2 linked regions of the Rattus norvegicus genome follow. The protein of the gene in region 1 purifies or fractionates together with the protein of each later gene. This does not show direct contact. Links are inferred from orthologs where the notes say so. Each region holds a gene or a part of one and is shown in the gene's direction. Other genes may lie near its edges.

What was found.
Region 2: the proteins of Cdk7 (region 1) and Gtf2h4 purify together in Homo sapiens (affinity purification with mass spectrometry; 7 studies listed by BioGRID and IntAct, with this or other methods). This does not show direct contact. The link is inferred for Rattus norvegicus from reciprocal best matches to the Homo sapiens genes CDK7 and GTF2H4.

Annotation. Positions count from the first base shown.
Region 1 is NC_086020.1:33,587,443-33,594,160, reverse strand, and holds part of Cdk7 (cyclin-dependent kinase 7), read left to right. Parts: intron 1-909; coding exon 910-943; intron 944-2,242; coding exon 2,243-2,310; intron 2,311-4,289; coding exon 4,290-4,358; intron 4,359-6,168; exon of another isoform or gene 6,169-6,718. UniProt on the Homo sapiens protein: Serine/threonine kinase involved in cell cycle control and in RNA polymerase II-mediated RNA transcription. Cyclin-dependent kinases (CDKs) are activated by the binding to a cyclin and mediate the progression through the cell cycle.
Region 2 is NC_086038.1:3,073,046-3,080,399, forward strand, and holds the start of Gtf2h4 (general transcription factor IIH subunit 4), read left to right. Parts: upstream 1-3,064; 5' UTR 3,065-3,232; exon of another isoform or gene 3,233-3,978; 5' UTR 3,979-3,981; coding exon 3,982-4,121; exon of another isoform or gene 4,122-4,467; coding exon 4,468-4,572; exon of another isoform or gene 4,573-4,917; intron 4,918-5,030; exon of another isoform or gene 5,031-5,148; coding exon 5,149-5,280; exon of another isoform or gene 5,281-5,306; intron 5,307-5,422; exon of another isoform or gene 5,423-5,493; intron 5,494-5,543; coding exon 5,544-5,640; intron 5,641-5,729; coding exon 5,730-5,818; intron 5,819-6,001; coding exon 6,002-6,113; intron 6,114-6,236; coding exon 6,237-6,305; intron 6,306-6,463; coding exon 6,464-6,547; intron 6,548-6,700; coding exon 6,701-6,833; intron 6,834-6,903; exon of another isoform or gene 6,904-7,021; coding exon 7,022-7,152; intron 7,153-7,264; exon of another isoform or gene 7,265-7,354. UniProt on the Homo sapiens protein: Component of the general transcription and DNA repair factor IIH (TFIIH) core complex, which is involved in general and transcription-coupled nucleotide excision repair (NER) of damaged DNA and, when complexed to CAK, in RNA transcription by RNA polymerase II.

The DNA of each region.
Region 1 (6,718 bases):
CATTAGCATCAAGGCAGGAACATGGTGGCATCCCAGGCAGGCATGGTGCAGGGGGAGAGTTCTACATATTCATTTGAAGGCTGCTAGTGGAAGACTCACTTCCAGGCAGCTAGGATAAGGGTCTTAAAGCTCAAACTTCACAGTGACACACCTACCCCAACAGGGCCACACCTTCTAATAGTGCCATTCCCTGGGTGGAGCAGTACAAACCATCACACCCTGTCTCACACAAAAGCGGTGGTTGGGGGGCAGGGGAGATATAAAGGAGACAATTATTTTGTGCACATACATGTACCACAGCATGCTCTGAAGGTCAGAGAGTAACTTGTGGGAATTCTTAATTCCAAATTGTGAGCCATCATGTGGTTGCTGAGATTTGAACTCAGGATCTCTGGAAGGGCAGTAAGAGCACATCTCTCCAGCACCCTTCCCTGCTTTATAAGAGTTGAGATATAAAGGAATGTAGCCCCAGTCCCAGCTGTTTTGATTTATTTGATACAGAATCTTGCTGTATAGCTGGGGCTTTGCCTCCCAGGTGTTGAGACTACGGCATGCACCACCATGTCAGTCCTGCTTGTAGCTAAGTGTCTGTACATATAGATTATACATTAATTTTACACATTCTGAATTTTTGGTTGGTTTTATTTATAAAACATTTATTATTTTATGTGTATCAGGATTTTACTTCCATGTATGCCTGCGTACCACTTGTATGCCTGGTGCCATCCAAGGTCAGAAGTGGCATTGGATCCCACTGGAACTGGCAGTTGCAAGCTGCTGTGTGGATGCTGAGAATTGAACCTAGATCCTTAGGAAGCAGTCAGTGTTCTCAACCCCTGATCCATTTCTTCTATCCTCTACACATGGTTAATATATGTGTCTTGGTTTTGTTCTCCCTGTCTCTCCCAGATCAAACTTGGACACAGGTCAGAAGCTAAAGATGGTAAGTATCACATGTAATTTGATCACCCAGGAGATGTTCTGATATGAGGCCTGAGGAGAATGTCAGGGAGAGTTAATGAGAGTTCAGTAGAGTTATTGCAGTATCTTTAGAGCAGCAGTTCTCAACCTGCGGGTCATGACCTGTTTGGGGTCCCATAACATATTTACATTACAATTCACAACAGTAGCAAAACTACATTTATAAAATAACAACGAAAATAATTTCATGCTTGGGAGTCATTGCAACATGAGAAACTGCATTAAAGGGTCATGGCATCAGGAAGGCTGAGAACCACTGCTCTAGAGAGTAAAGCAAGTCTGGTTAGAAGCAACATGTAAGCATTGCGGGAACATTCAGATTGTAAGTGTAAGTGGGGCAGTGAGGTTAGTGCTTGGTCTGGATGCCCTCGCTACTGCTTCGGGTGCTGTACATCATTGCTTTTGCATTTCTGGTGTTCTGCTTGCTTTGAAAAATTCAAGGGTACATCTTCCTAGAATAACACAAAGTTCCTGAAAAATGGACACATTAGGAAAAGGTTTATTTCTTATTCTCAAGCCTCTTAGAATATCAGGTTCTGTTTGGCCATCAAGTAATAGTTATTATGAAATGTTATGGGCTGGAGAGATGGCTCAGTGGTTAAGAGCATTGTCTGCTCTTCCAGAGGTCCTGAGTTCAATTCCCAGCAACCACATGGTGGCTCACAACCATCTGTAATGAGATCTAATGCCCTCTTCTGGTGTGTCTGAAGTCAGCTACAGTGAACTCATATAAATATAATAACTAAATCTTAAGGGAAGAAAGAAAGAAAGCAAGAAAGAAATGTCACCATCGTTGGGGATTTAGCTCAGCGGTAGAGCGCTTGCCTAGCGAGCGCAAGGCCCTGGGTTCGGTCCCCAGCTTCAAAAAAAAAAAAGAAAAGAAAAAAAAAAAAAGAAATGTCACCATCAGAGAAAGTGCCAGCGCTGTTGTAGTTTGAATTTCGACCATTTGTATTGAAAAAAGCTATCGTTCGTGCTAATTTGCTATTAGCACGCATAGCCTTTCTCTGATGTTTGTAGGACAAGAGAAAAGGCCCTATTACCACATATTTGCTACATGTCTGTCTATGCTATTGTAATAATTTCAGAATGATATGTAGAGACATAAGTACTTTGCCATTTTTCATATACTGTGTTAAGCTACCTTAAAACAATGTGGAAAACACTTTCTCATAAAAATAGTTAAATTTGCCCTCTGTGTGTATGTAAAAGGTTTGAAATTTCATAATTGTTGTTCATTTTTTACATTCTTTTTTTATAGGTATAAATAGAACAGCCTTAAGGGAGATAAAGCTCTTGCAGGAACTAAGTCATCCAAATATAATTGGTGTGAGTATGATATAAGCTGTGTGCCCCTTGGGGTCCTCCATCATCTGATTATGACGGCTATTGGTCAGAGGCTCAGTGTAGTGGATTGATGTAGATAACGTTGCAGACATTTGAGGATTGATTAGGGTGAAGTGTATTTTCTCTCCCACTTTTGCTGTGAGTGGTATCTTTAGCATTATACATATAAATGAGGAAAGGAATCAAATGTTTCCACACAGGTTGATTTTGTCAGAAATGGTTTTGAGTCCAACTGTTAAAAGTAGCAAATTGCATTTAAGTTGAGAACCTTGTTGCCTGCATGAGGGCTGGAGTGGATTTCAGTGAAGTTACTGTAATTAGAGTACTAACAGTACTGCAAGTATGTATCCTGTACCTGGCAAGAAGTTTTTTACAAATTTGCTTAGGAAATTTTGTTTGTTTTTGTTTTGTTCACGACAGGGTTTCTCTGTGTCTTCCTGGCTGTTCTGGAACTCACTCTGTAGACCCAGCTGGCCTCGAACTCAGATTTGTCTGCTTCTGCCTCCCACGTGCTGGGACCAAAGAAGTGTGCCACTATGACAAGAATTTTCTTTTAAACATTGAAACTTTTTTTTCTTTTCTTAAATTTGAGTGTGGCATGCGTGCTTATGTATACAATTTGCCTATGCATGTGTATTTGGAGGCCTGAGGTTCATATAAAATATCATTTTCTATTACTTTTCTGTCATATTCACTGAGGCAGGGTCTCAGTCAAACCCAGCACTCAGTGACAGGGACAGTTTTTTAGCTAATGTGCCCTAGAGAACTCCTGTCTTCCGTCCAAGGCTGGAATGGCAGGCACAGCACTCTTCCTGCCTGGCGTGTGCATGGTTTCTGAATCTGAACTTTGGTGTAGTCCTTAACATTTGGGAGGCGGGGGCTTTTACTCCCGAGCCAACTGGAAACCAAGGTGAAATTTTCTTTTCCCTTTTTTTTTCCTCCAGATTTATTCATTTAATATATATAAGTACACTGTCACTGTCTTAGACACACCAGAAAAGGGCACCAGATCCATTACAGATGGTTGTGAGCCACCATGTGGTTGCTGGGAATTGAACTCAGGACCTCAGGAAGAGCAGTGAGTGCTCTTGACCATTGAGCCATCTCTCTAGCCCTCTTCCTTTTTCGAGACAGGGTTTTCCTATTTAGCCTTGGCTGTCCTTGAACTTGCTCTGTAGACCAGGCTGGCTTTGGACGCGGAGATCTTCCTGCCTCTGCCTCCCAAGTGCTGGATTACAGCCATGCATCACCACTGCCGGAGCTGTGAAATTTTCATTAATTTATTTATTCTAATTCTTGGACTTTAGGAAGAGGAGTTTTTAAGTTTTTAGTGAATTTGTTAAGTGGGTTAATGTTTTTGCGCCAGAGAGTACGAATTCTTGTTAACAAATGGGGCAAATGTTGAGTTTAATGAAGGAGTCTCAGTTCACAGGAAATTTCCCGCAGTTTAGGAATGTAAGCCAGGCAGTACACGTTTGTGTTATTTATAATCACAGGGGAGGTGGAGGCAGAAGTAGGATTGAGTTGAAGGCCAGCCTGGGCTACATAGCAAGTTCTAGGTCAGCATGATATATAGTGATGTCTTATCTCAAAAATCCAAGGACTGGGGCTGGAGAGATGGCTCAGTGGTTAAGAGCACCGACTGCTCTTCCAGAGGTCCTGAGTTCAATTCCCAACAACCACATGGGCTCACAACCATCTGTAATGGGATTTGATGCCCTCTTCTGGTGTGTCTGAAGACAGCTACAGTGTACTTATATATAATTTAAAAAAAAAAAAAAATCCAAGGACTGGCGGATGTATCTTAGTGGTGGAACACTTGCCTAGCATTCTGAAGGCCCAGGATTTACCGGTAGTGTGTGTGGGAAAAGCAAACATAATTTTTAAAAATTATTCCGACAATAAATTCCAATGTTATTAAATAGAGAGTAACAGTTTGACTTGATTTTTCTTCTTTGCAGCTCCTTGATGCATTTGGACATAAATCGAACATTAGCCTTGTCTTTGATTTTATGGAGACTGACCTAGAGGTAAGATAGAATTCCTGGAGATATCGCTCTACTTAGTGGAAGCAAAACCTGCATACTTATTCTGCTTTAAGAAAAGACTGATGAACAAAAAGTTGCTTAATTTTGCAGATCTCTAATTTCTTTCCTTTTTTTTTTTTAAAGATTTATTTATTATGTATAAGTACACTGTATATTGCTGTCTTCAGACACACCAGGAGAGGGCATCAGATACCATTACAGATGGTTGTGAGTCACCATGTGGTTGCTGGGATTTGAACTCAGGACCTCTGGAAGAGCAGACAGTGCTCTTAACCATTGAGCCATCTCTCCAGCCCAGATCTCTAATTTCTTTACATTTAATTGTATTTCTACTAAGAGGTATAGATTTTATTGACATTTTGCCAAGTTCCTTTTAACTTACTGACATTTTCAGGCACATTAGACCTGACAATTTTATATTCATCCCCATATTATCTATCAAAGGTTAATGTCTTTTAGAAAACCAAGTTTCTCTGTAAAAGTTGCAGGTTTTTTTTTTTTTTTTGTTTTTTTTGTTTTTTTTTTTTTTTTTTTTTTTTGGTTCTTTTTTTCGGAGCTGGGGACCGAACCCAGGGCCTTGCGCTTCCTAGGTAAGCGCTCTACCACTGAGCTAAATCCCCAGCCCCGCAGGTTTTTTATTAATTAAATCCCCCAAACATTAATAGTTCCAAGTTAAAACTAAAATTCTTATACATTGCTGGTTTGAATCCAAATTTTATATTCACTTTGGAAAGTAGTACAGTTTGTCAAAAAATTAAAGACACATTTACTATCAGATCAAAGGTAAAAAGGATTTTTATGACTGCATCAAGCAGGCAAAGGAATGCAGGACGTACAGCCTTAGTCTAATTACCTCTGTAAGGAAATGCTTAGTCCCTTTAATTCTACCACACTTGCTTGGGTTTCTTCCTTCCTTCCTTCCCTTCTGTCTTTTTTTTTTTAAAGATTTATTTATTATGTATATAGCATTCTACCTGCATGTACGCCTGCAGGCCAGAATAGGGCACCAGATCTCATCATAGATGGTTTTGAGCCACCATGTGGTTGCTGGGAACTAAACTCAGGACCTCTGGAAGAGCAGACAGTGCTCTTAACCTCTGAGCCATCTCTCCAGCCCTGTCTTTCTTTTTCTGATATAGGGTTTCTCTGTGTAGCCTTGGCTGCCCTGGAACTCACTCTGTAGGCCAGGCTAGCCTTGAACCCAGAAATCTGCCTGTCTCTGCCTCCCAGGTGCTTTGATTAAAGTTATGTACATCACCACCCAGCGTTACTTGGGTTTCTTGATTGGTAAGTAGGTTTTAGGTCATAGGTCATGTGTCTTGTTTTTTTTTTTTTTTTTTTTTTTTTTTAATATTTTGAAATTTTTATTAGAGGAAATATCTAATGGTTGTCGTACACAAATATCGGTTTCTCAAGGACAGAACGACAGATTTATCTGTGTTTGAAGTTCCAGGATAGATAGCAAGAGGCACTGTGCTCAAACATACTTGTAGTATGAAAGGGCCATCATGAGTACAAAGCTGTTACCTTCGGTTTCTACTCACAGTTGACTTAACAATTCTCCGTCCCAGCGGAGGGAACAGGGGATGTAGTACCAAGTGGCCAGCCGCGGCCCCTGGTGCTCAATGCCTCAGCTATGCTGCACACTCAGGGTACAGCAGAGGCAGCTAAGGGAAGGAGTGGGACTTAGCACTCCAGTTCCTCAGTACGCTTTGCAGACCTTCGGACTCTTCTTCCTAGACAGAGTACAGTGGGATTCAGGCGAGAGCTAGCGCTGCTGACCACTACCCCATTAGTGCAAACTCTAGTTCAGATACTGAAGAATCATGTTGGCCAATTGAGGCAGGTTCTCTTGTAGGCGCTTTAGTGTAAGACAAACTGGCATGGAGGGGACTCCATTCTGCCAAGGTCAAGGGTTAGTATATTGGAGGTGCCCCGTGTTGCCAAGAAGCGTTCAGTCTCCCGTACAGCGCTCTTCTGTGCTTCCACCACAGCAGTCAGCACCTGGCCCTGGCCTCATCCAACTGGTGCAGAGAGCTGCCAGAGGCTAGGGGCTGGGACTGCATAGACTGATGGGGTGGGGGAGCCCGATTCTCAAACAGTGCAGACCGGAGCTGAGCCAGGGGCGATAGCTCTTCCAAACCCACCACGGTGAACAAGGGTAGATCTCAGCGGACTCCACAAGTCTGGGAGGAAGGGCAAGGCGCAGTCTCTGCCGATTTCTCAAACTCCAGAGTCATTATAGCCGGAGGATTTGATGCCAGGATTTCCTCTGGATCCAGTGCCTTGGGGACAGCGACCAGGACTCCCCCATTTGCTACAGGACTGGTGGTGTGCTGTTC
Region 2 (7,354 bases), on another chromosome or scaffold:
CATCTTACTCACTGTGGCGGGGTCTCCCAATCAGCCAGCGCTCCCTGATACGCAGTTTCCCTGGCCAGCGACTCTCCGGATCCCTACAGGCTATTCCCACCTTACACGTCACGTGGGTCCTGGAGATCTGAACTTTGGTCCTCACACCTGCATAGCAAACGCTTCTGTCACTAAGCCATCTAGGGGACCTTTCGGGTTTATATCAAAGCTTCTTAGGAGCCGTTTAAGCTGCTTTGTAATTCGCATTTTTCTCTATGCTGATGGACCATGTGCGGTTCAAGGCTTGTATACATAAGGGCCCAGCCTTTCTCAGGGGCGCTCAGTCTTCTCCATTGCTACAATGATTCGTGTTTTATCTAACCAACCTCTCCATTGACTTCAGGAAACATCTTCAATGGGTAAATCTGCATTTATTCTGTGAGTGAGGGTTTCAAGATGATACAAGACAGGGTTTCCGTGGCTGTTGGAACTTGCTTTTGTAGACCAGGTAGGCCACGAACTCACAGAGATCCGCCTGCCTCTGCTTCATGAGTCTTCAGATTAAAGGGGTGTGCCAACACACCCCCAGCTTGGATGATTCAATTCTAGTGGTGGCTTTGCTAGGTCAAAAAACAATCACGTTAAAATTGTTTGTGGAGGGTTGGGGATTTAGCTCAGTGGTAGAGTGCTTGCCTAGCAAGCACAAGGCCCTGGGTTCGGTCCCCAGCTCCGAAAAAAAAAAGAAAAGAAAAAAAATTGTTTGTGGAAACTGAGGCAGGAGGATTGGGAGTTTACAGCCTCCTCCACGACCACTCCCAATCCTTCTACCTTTGCCTCTTCCAAGGGCATGCAGAGTTACAGGCCCATGTGCCAGATTCATCTTTTTTCTTTCCTCCTCCTCTTCCTCCTCCTCTTCTTCCTCCTCCTCTTCCTCTTCTTCCTCCTCCTCCTCCTTCAACATTTGTTTATTTTATGTATGTGAGTACACTATAGCTGTCTTCAGACACACCAGAAGAGGGCAGGAGGTCCCATTACAGATGGTTGTGAGCCACCATGTGGTTGCTGGAATTGAACTCAGGACCTCTGGAAGAGCAGTCAGTGCTCTTAACCACTGAGCTATCTCTCCAGCCCCTTCTTTTCTTTCTAAAGAAGATTATTATTTTTAAGTTCTGTGTCCAGGTGCTACAAAGGCGCAGAAGGGGACATTTGATCCCCCTGGAACTGGAGTTACAGGAATTTTATTCTTTTTACTGTTAGATTTCTGAACAGCTTAAAGGGACAGGAGGTAGAAAAGAAAACAGACTGATTTCAACTGATTTCAATAGTTTATTTCAGACACAGTGTTAGAGGAGCATCTGCCCAAAAAGGAAGCGGGTACTTGGGTTTATCTAGGAGGTTTGCGGAATGGGAAGTTAAGCGCTGCATCTGGGGCTATGTGCAAGTCTTCAATTTCTCCCTCCTGGAGAAAAGGCCATTTTATCTTTAGAAACTGCCTTGCCTTGGCTGAGAGTTAAGTAACAGCAGTGAGGGAGGGGCTGGAGTTCCACTATAGGGTCTTGGTCAGGATCTGGTTCCAGGTTTATTCTAACATTTACAACCAAGACAACGACAGAGTACTTTCATTGTTAAAAGGTGACTTTTAGGGGCTGGGGATTTAGCTCAGTGGTAGAGCGCTTACCTAGGAAGCGCAAGGCCCTGGGTTCGGTCCCCAGCTCCGAAAAAAAGAACCAAAAAAAAAAAAAAAAGGTGACTTTTATTATTACTGCTGTGTGTGAGTGCCGGAAGGAAGAGGCCAGGATGCCCAGCTCCATGGCACAGGAATGGAAGTCAGTTGTCTTTCCCTCTGCTCAGGTCACAGCACAGCAAGGCCTTTCCCAACTGAGCCATCTCAGCAGCCTGCGACTTTCTTTAAAATACCTAATAAAGCATCACCAAGTCCTTACATGGCCCCACCATTTTTGCCCTTGGTAAATGTGTTTCTCATCAGCACTGGGACTTCCTTGTGCCGTTTTCTTATTCTTGTTGGGCTTGATAGTGATGTAAGAATAACAGAATTTGCCCCCATAAGAATTGGAGAGGGATTGGGGATTTAGGTCAGTGGTAGAGCGCTTGCCTAGCAAGCGCAAGGCCCTGGGTTCCGGTCCCCAGCTCCGGAAAAAAAAAAAAAATGGAGAACCTCTAGATGACCTTAGTTGCTGTCATTCCTTCCTTTCCCTTGTCTTGTCTATGATAAATTCATAAGTCAGATCAGGGCAAACGAGAGCTTTCTTTTAAAAATTGTAATATAATCTTCTAACTCCCGGGGAGTTGGAAGGGCTGAGGAGGAAGAGATTAAGATTGATTGTGCGAGGGGTTGGGGATTTAGCTCAGTGGTAGAGCGCTTGCCTAGGAAGCGTAAGGCCCTGGGTTCGGTCCCCAGCTCCGAAAAAAAGAACCAAAAAAAAAAAAAAAAAAAAAAAAAAAGATTGATTGTGCGGGTTGGGGGATGGTGGAGAGATGGCTCAGCAGTTAAGTACACTGGGCTGTTCTTCCAAAGGGCCCGGGTTCAATTTCTAGCACCCATATGGTAGCTCACAGCTGTCTGTAATTCCAGTTCTAGGGGACTCTGACCTCACAGACATTTTGATTGATTGAGCATTTAGTAGCCAAATAAGGGCGATTGTGTTGATCCTCGACTCATGAAAACTCTCTGCACTGTGCATTATCTCAGTTTTGTGGAAAACAGCACAGGTCAAGAAATCCAGTTTTGAGGTCTCTAAGTCTAACATACCACCACTGAGCTGCTGTAGCGCGTCTCCGATAGGAGACCCTGGAGCTCCTCCAGATTGGGTGCCTCCTCCTGTCTAGCCCTGACTGAGATTAGCTTTAGCTTCACAAGGGAGAGAGGCGCGGAACCAAATGGTCTGGCTTAGGGTGTTCCTAGGGAATCCTAATGAAAAGTCACTGTCTCTCGGCCGGCCTTCTTGCGGTGCCTTTCGGGAACTGTAGTCAGACCCTCCTCACAGTGCTCCAATGTAGACTAGGAGAGGACTACAATTCCCAGTATGCCACGCGACAGGCGCGTACATTGCCTATTCTAATCCCCTTTACTCTTGACACTTTTTCTGCGCTCCCTTCTCTTTGGGCTGCTTTTTGGCTGGGTCCTGTCTGTGAAGTTCTCCGCGGTTCTCCCACGTTTTAGAATTTTCATCTTTTATTTCCAGGAGTCAATGCGAGACATTAGCTCTGATTAGGCGACGGCTGGTGACCCGGGGTGCGCGGAGGGGATCCGAGTGGTGAGGGGGTGTGAGAGGGGTCAGGGAGGGAGAGAGTTGAGTGAGAGGTGGTGTGAAAGGAAAGCTGGGGAGAAGTGAGGAGCTCGGAAGCGTGTGTCTCAGTGAGAGGGGTGAAGCTGGCTCGGGGGGTGGGGGGAAGGGATAGAAAGATATTTAGGTTGGTAAGCGTGGAGGCAGTTTATAACCGTGTCCCCAGATGAGAGCGCTAAGTACTTGACAGATTTATAGTGATTTGACCAGGAGGGTGGACAAGAGAGAAGCTTAGGCTCAAACAAGCATCTTTGTCACTGCTTAGGTCAACTAGAGACATCATTGATAATGCAAAACACTTTTGCAAGTAGGACACAACAAGTAATTCAGTCACTTTTGTACACACCAGTGAGGATCTGGATTTGATCCTCAGGACCATACACAAAATGAGAATAATCTCACCCCCTGGAGACTGAAAAAAGGCTGAACTTAAAGGCAGATGTGGGATGAAAAACCTGGTGGCCACTTGTGACATCGAGGTCACAAAGATGGGTCAGGGGTTCAAATCCATCCTTGGCTACATAGCAAGTTCAAGGCCATCCTGAGCTGCATGATGAAGAAGCAGGACACGAAGGGTTTGGGAGGAATGAGTGGCACCAGACAGGAAAGTACAGAAAGTGAACCTGATAGATCTGGAGTCATAGATCTGGAGTGATATGGGTCATGCGGGAGTTCTGACACTTGTCCCTCTCAGGTGATGGAGATCACCCCCGCGAGGGGTGGACTGAACCGAGCACACCTACAATGCAGGAATCTACAGGAGTTCTTAGGCGGCCTGAGCCCTGGGGTGCTGGACCGATTGTATGGACACCCTGCCACTTGTCTGGCTGTCTTCAGGTGAGGGGCGTTTGGAGAGTGTAACGGGGCCTGCAGACTGAAGTTAGTTATCATGGAGGAGAGGCTTACCTCAGTGAGTACCAGGGTGTTAGACAGTGTGTCAATCCAAAACAGAGGTTGTGGGGGCAGCGGGACTGGTAAGGATGTGGGAGATGGCGTGAGACATTTGAGAGGCAGATGTTGCAGGGTATTTGATCACATTGTGAACCCCAAGGTTATGAACCAGAAAAACCTTGTATTGTGGTTCAGTCCTACCATACACCTTTTAGCCAAGGGGCCAGGCAGATAAGGGCAGAGATGCAGGTGTGAGGTTGCTTCTGATAACATTGGCCTCTGAACCTTACAGGGAGCTCCCTTCCTTGGCTAAGAACTGGGTGATGAGAATGCTCTTTCTGGAGCAGCCTCTACCACAGGCTGCCGTGGCCCTGTGGGTGAAGAAGGAGTTCAGCAAGTGAGTCCTGTGCAAGCGTCATTTCTCAAATTGCTTTTGTTTGGAACACTGCCAGGGTGCACACACACAGGAGCTGGGGATCAGATCTAGGGCCTTTCAACAGACTCTGCCCTACACAAGGAAAACCCTCCAGAATACACTTGCAGTGGTTTCCATGGTGCAGAGTTGTGATCTCTCTAGCTGTATACTAATTAGAACAAAACAAACAAAAAGACCAAAGGAAGAAAGGAAAAAAGTAGCCAGCGAAGTAGGGAGGTAGAGACAGGAAACAGTAGATTGTAAGGTTACATTGCAAGTTTGATACATTGTAAGGTCGAGGCTGTCCCAGGCTTCATAGGACCCCTTCTGAAACAAAACAAATGGGGGAGGGGGGATTGACTTAGAAAACAAAACAGAGAAACCAACAACAATCAAAACTAGCTATGTTGTCCTTAGCATTGTAGTGCAGGTTGCCTCACCCAGTGCATGTTGCTTCCCTCTGCAACACTGTTCCAAGGACTGCCATTGGGGGAGAGAGAGCTCCCTGGAGGTCTCCTTTCTATTCATGACACCTCACCCAACTCTGCTTCCGTCCAGGGCTCAGGAGGAAAGTACCGGGCTGTTGAGTGGCCTCCGTATTTGGCATACCCAGCTGCTCCCCGGTGGACTCCAGGGCCTCATCTTGAACCCTGTCTTCCGCCAGAACCTCCGAATTGCTCTTCTGGGTGGGTACGTCATTCCCTTCTCTTCCTGAGCTAGGCCAGGGGAACAAACTGCTTACTACACTGATGGGGGGAGAAGCTCTTGAGAGACCTCCCCAGAACCTCTTCCCCCTCACTCCCACCCCTTCGGGAAGCTCCTTCAAGAATACATTGGACCAGGTGTGGGTGTGGGCTGCAGAAAATGTCCTCTTCTCATGGTTCATGGGGCGAGGGAAAAGACCTAGAGAAGCAGGAAACAGGGCTCCTTATTCCTGTTCATCCTGGCCACAGGGGCAAGGCCTGGTCTGATGACACAAGTCAGCTGGGACCAGACAAGCACGCCCGGGATGTCCCCTCACTTGATAAGTACGCCGAGGAGCGCTGGGAGGTGAGGAGTGGGCCTCTGTGGGCCTCCGCTGTGCGCCCTGTTCCCAGTAGCCCTAGAAACCCCAGTCTCCTGACCCTTTTCATCTCTAGGTGGTCTTGCATTTCATGGTGGGCTCCCCCAGTGCAGCTGTCAGCCAGGACCTGGCTCAACTCCTCAGCCAGGCCGGGCTTATGAAAAGGTGAGGAGGGCAGAGCATGGCTGCTCCCTGCTCAGCCATCTCCTTGGGTCTCAAATAAAGTGGGTATCTTCTGGGGCTAGGAGGGAGTGGAGAGAGTTGGCTGAGAGGAGAGGCCTAAGTTGGTGTAAGCAGACTAGGTGTAGCCCTTTGCAAGCTGCTACCATCAGCTCTCTCTGTCACTAGCACCGAACCCGGAGAGCCACCGTGTATCACTTCCGCTGGCTTCCAGTTCCTGCTCCTAGACACGCCTGCCCAGCTCTGGTACTTCATGCTGCAGTATCTGCAGACAGCCCAGGTAAGAGCCAGGGCCTAGGACGCTGCTCACTCTGCTCAGGTCCCTGAGTAACTACCAGCCTACGGTGCTCCTTAACTCCCTCTTTCTGTCTCATGTCCTGTCTCTCTGCCGTTTCCTTCTCAGAGTCGGGGCATGGATCTAGTGGAGATTCTCTCCTTCCTTTTCCAGCTCAGTTTCTCTACTCTTGGCAAGGTAAGTAGGGAGCGAGCTGGGGGACAGGGAGGTAAGGAGAGGTTATGGCGGAAGATGGTAATAACCACAGAACCACCCGAGAAGGCAAGAGGAGGAGGAGACAGGCTGGGTAGTGACCGTGGGTGTGTCATAGCCCCCGATGGCCATCTCTTCACCAGGACTACTCCGTGGAGGGGATGAGTGATTCTTTGTTGAACTTCCTGCAACACCTGCGTGAATTCGGGCTTGTTTTCCAGAGGAAGGTATGTACACCCAGCTGTAGGCCTCTAGGACAGTAGGGTGTTTGGGGTGCAGCCAAAAGACCTAGCTAGGACTGAGTGCTTGGGTCATTTGAGGGGGGGGAGGTTAAGGGCTGATGCGGGGGTCGGACCCCATCTTGCCCCATGTCCTTCCAGAGGAAGTCCCGGCGTTACTACCCCACACGCCTGGCCATCAACCTCTCATCTGGTGTCTCCGGGGCTGGGGGCACTGTGCACCAGCCTGGCTTCATTGTCGTCGAAACCAATTACAGACTGTATGCCTATACCGGTGAGTCCGGGTGGGGGTGGGTGGGCAGGGAGTGGGGAGGGGAAGGACACAGGAGAAAATGGCTGCCCACCTTCACTGGGTGGTCTATGTAGCTCCCTGGCATTCATCCCTACACTTGCCGGTGGGCAGGGCTGGAGGAAGGCAGGCTGGGCAGCCTCCTCACTCCTCCCCCTTCAACCCTGGGGCAGAGTCGGAGCTGCAGATCGCCCTCATTGCTCTTTTCTCCGAGATGCTCTATCGATTCCCCAACATGGTGGTGGCACAAGTGACCCGGGAGAGCGTGCAGCAGGCCATCGCCAGTGGCATCACTGCCCAGCAGGTATCCCTGCTTGGAGAGGAGGTCGGGTGGGGAAAGGGGCTGTGCTTGCCCTGGGGGGCAAAGGTGTTCCTTTCCTGGAAGCACAGGTCTGTCAGGGGAGGTGGTGAGTCACCTGGGTACCTGGGAAGGCGGGAAGGGAGGCGTCAAGCTGTGAATCTGCCTCACTCCACTGTTCACAGATGCTTTGTCTCTGCTAGCCTCA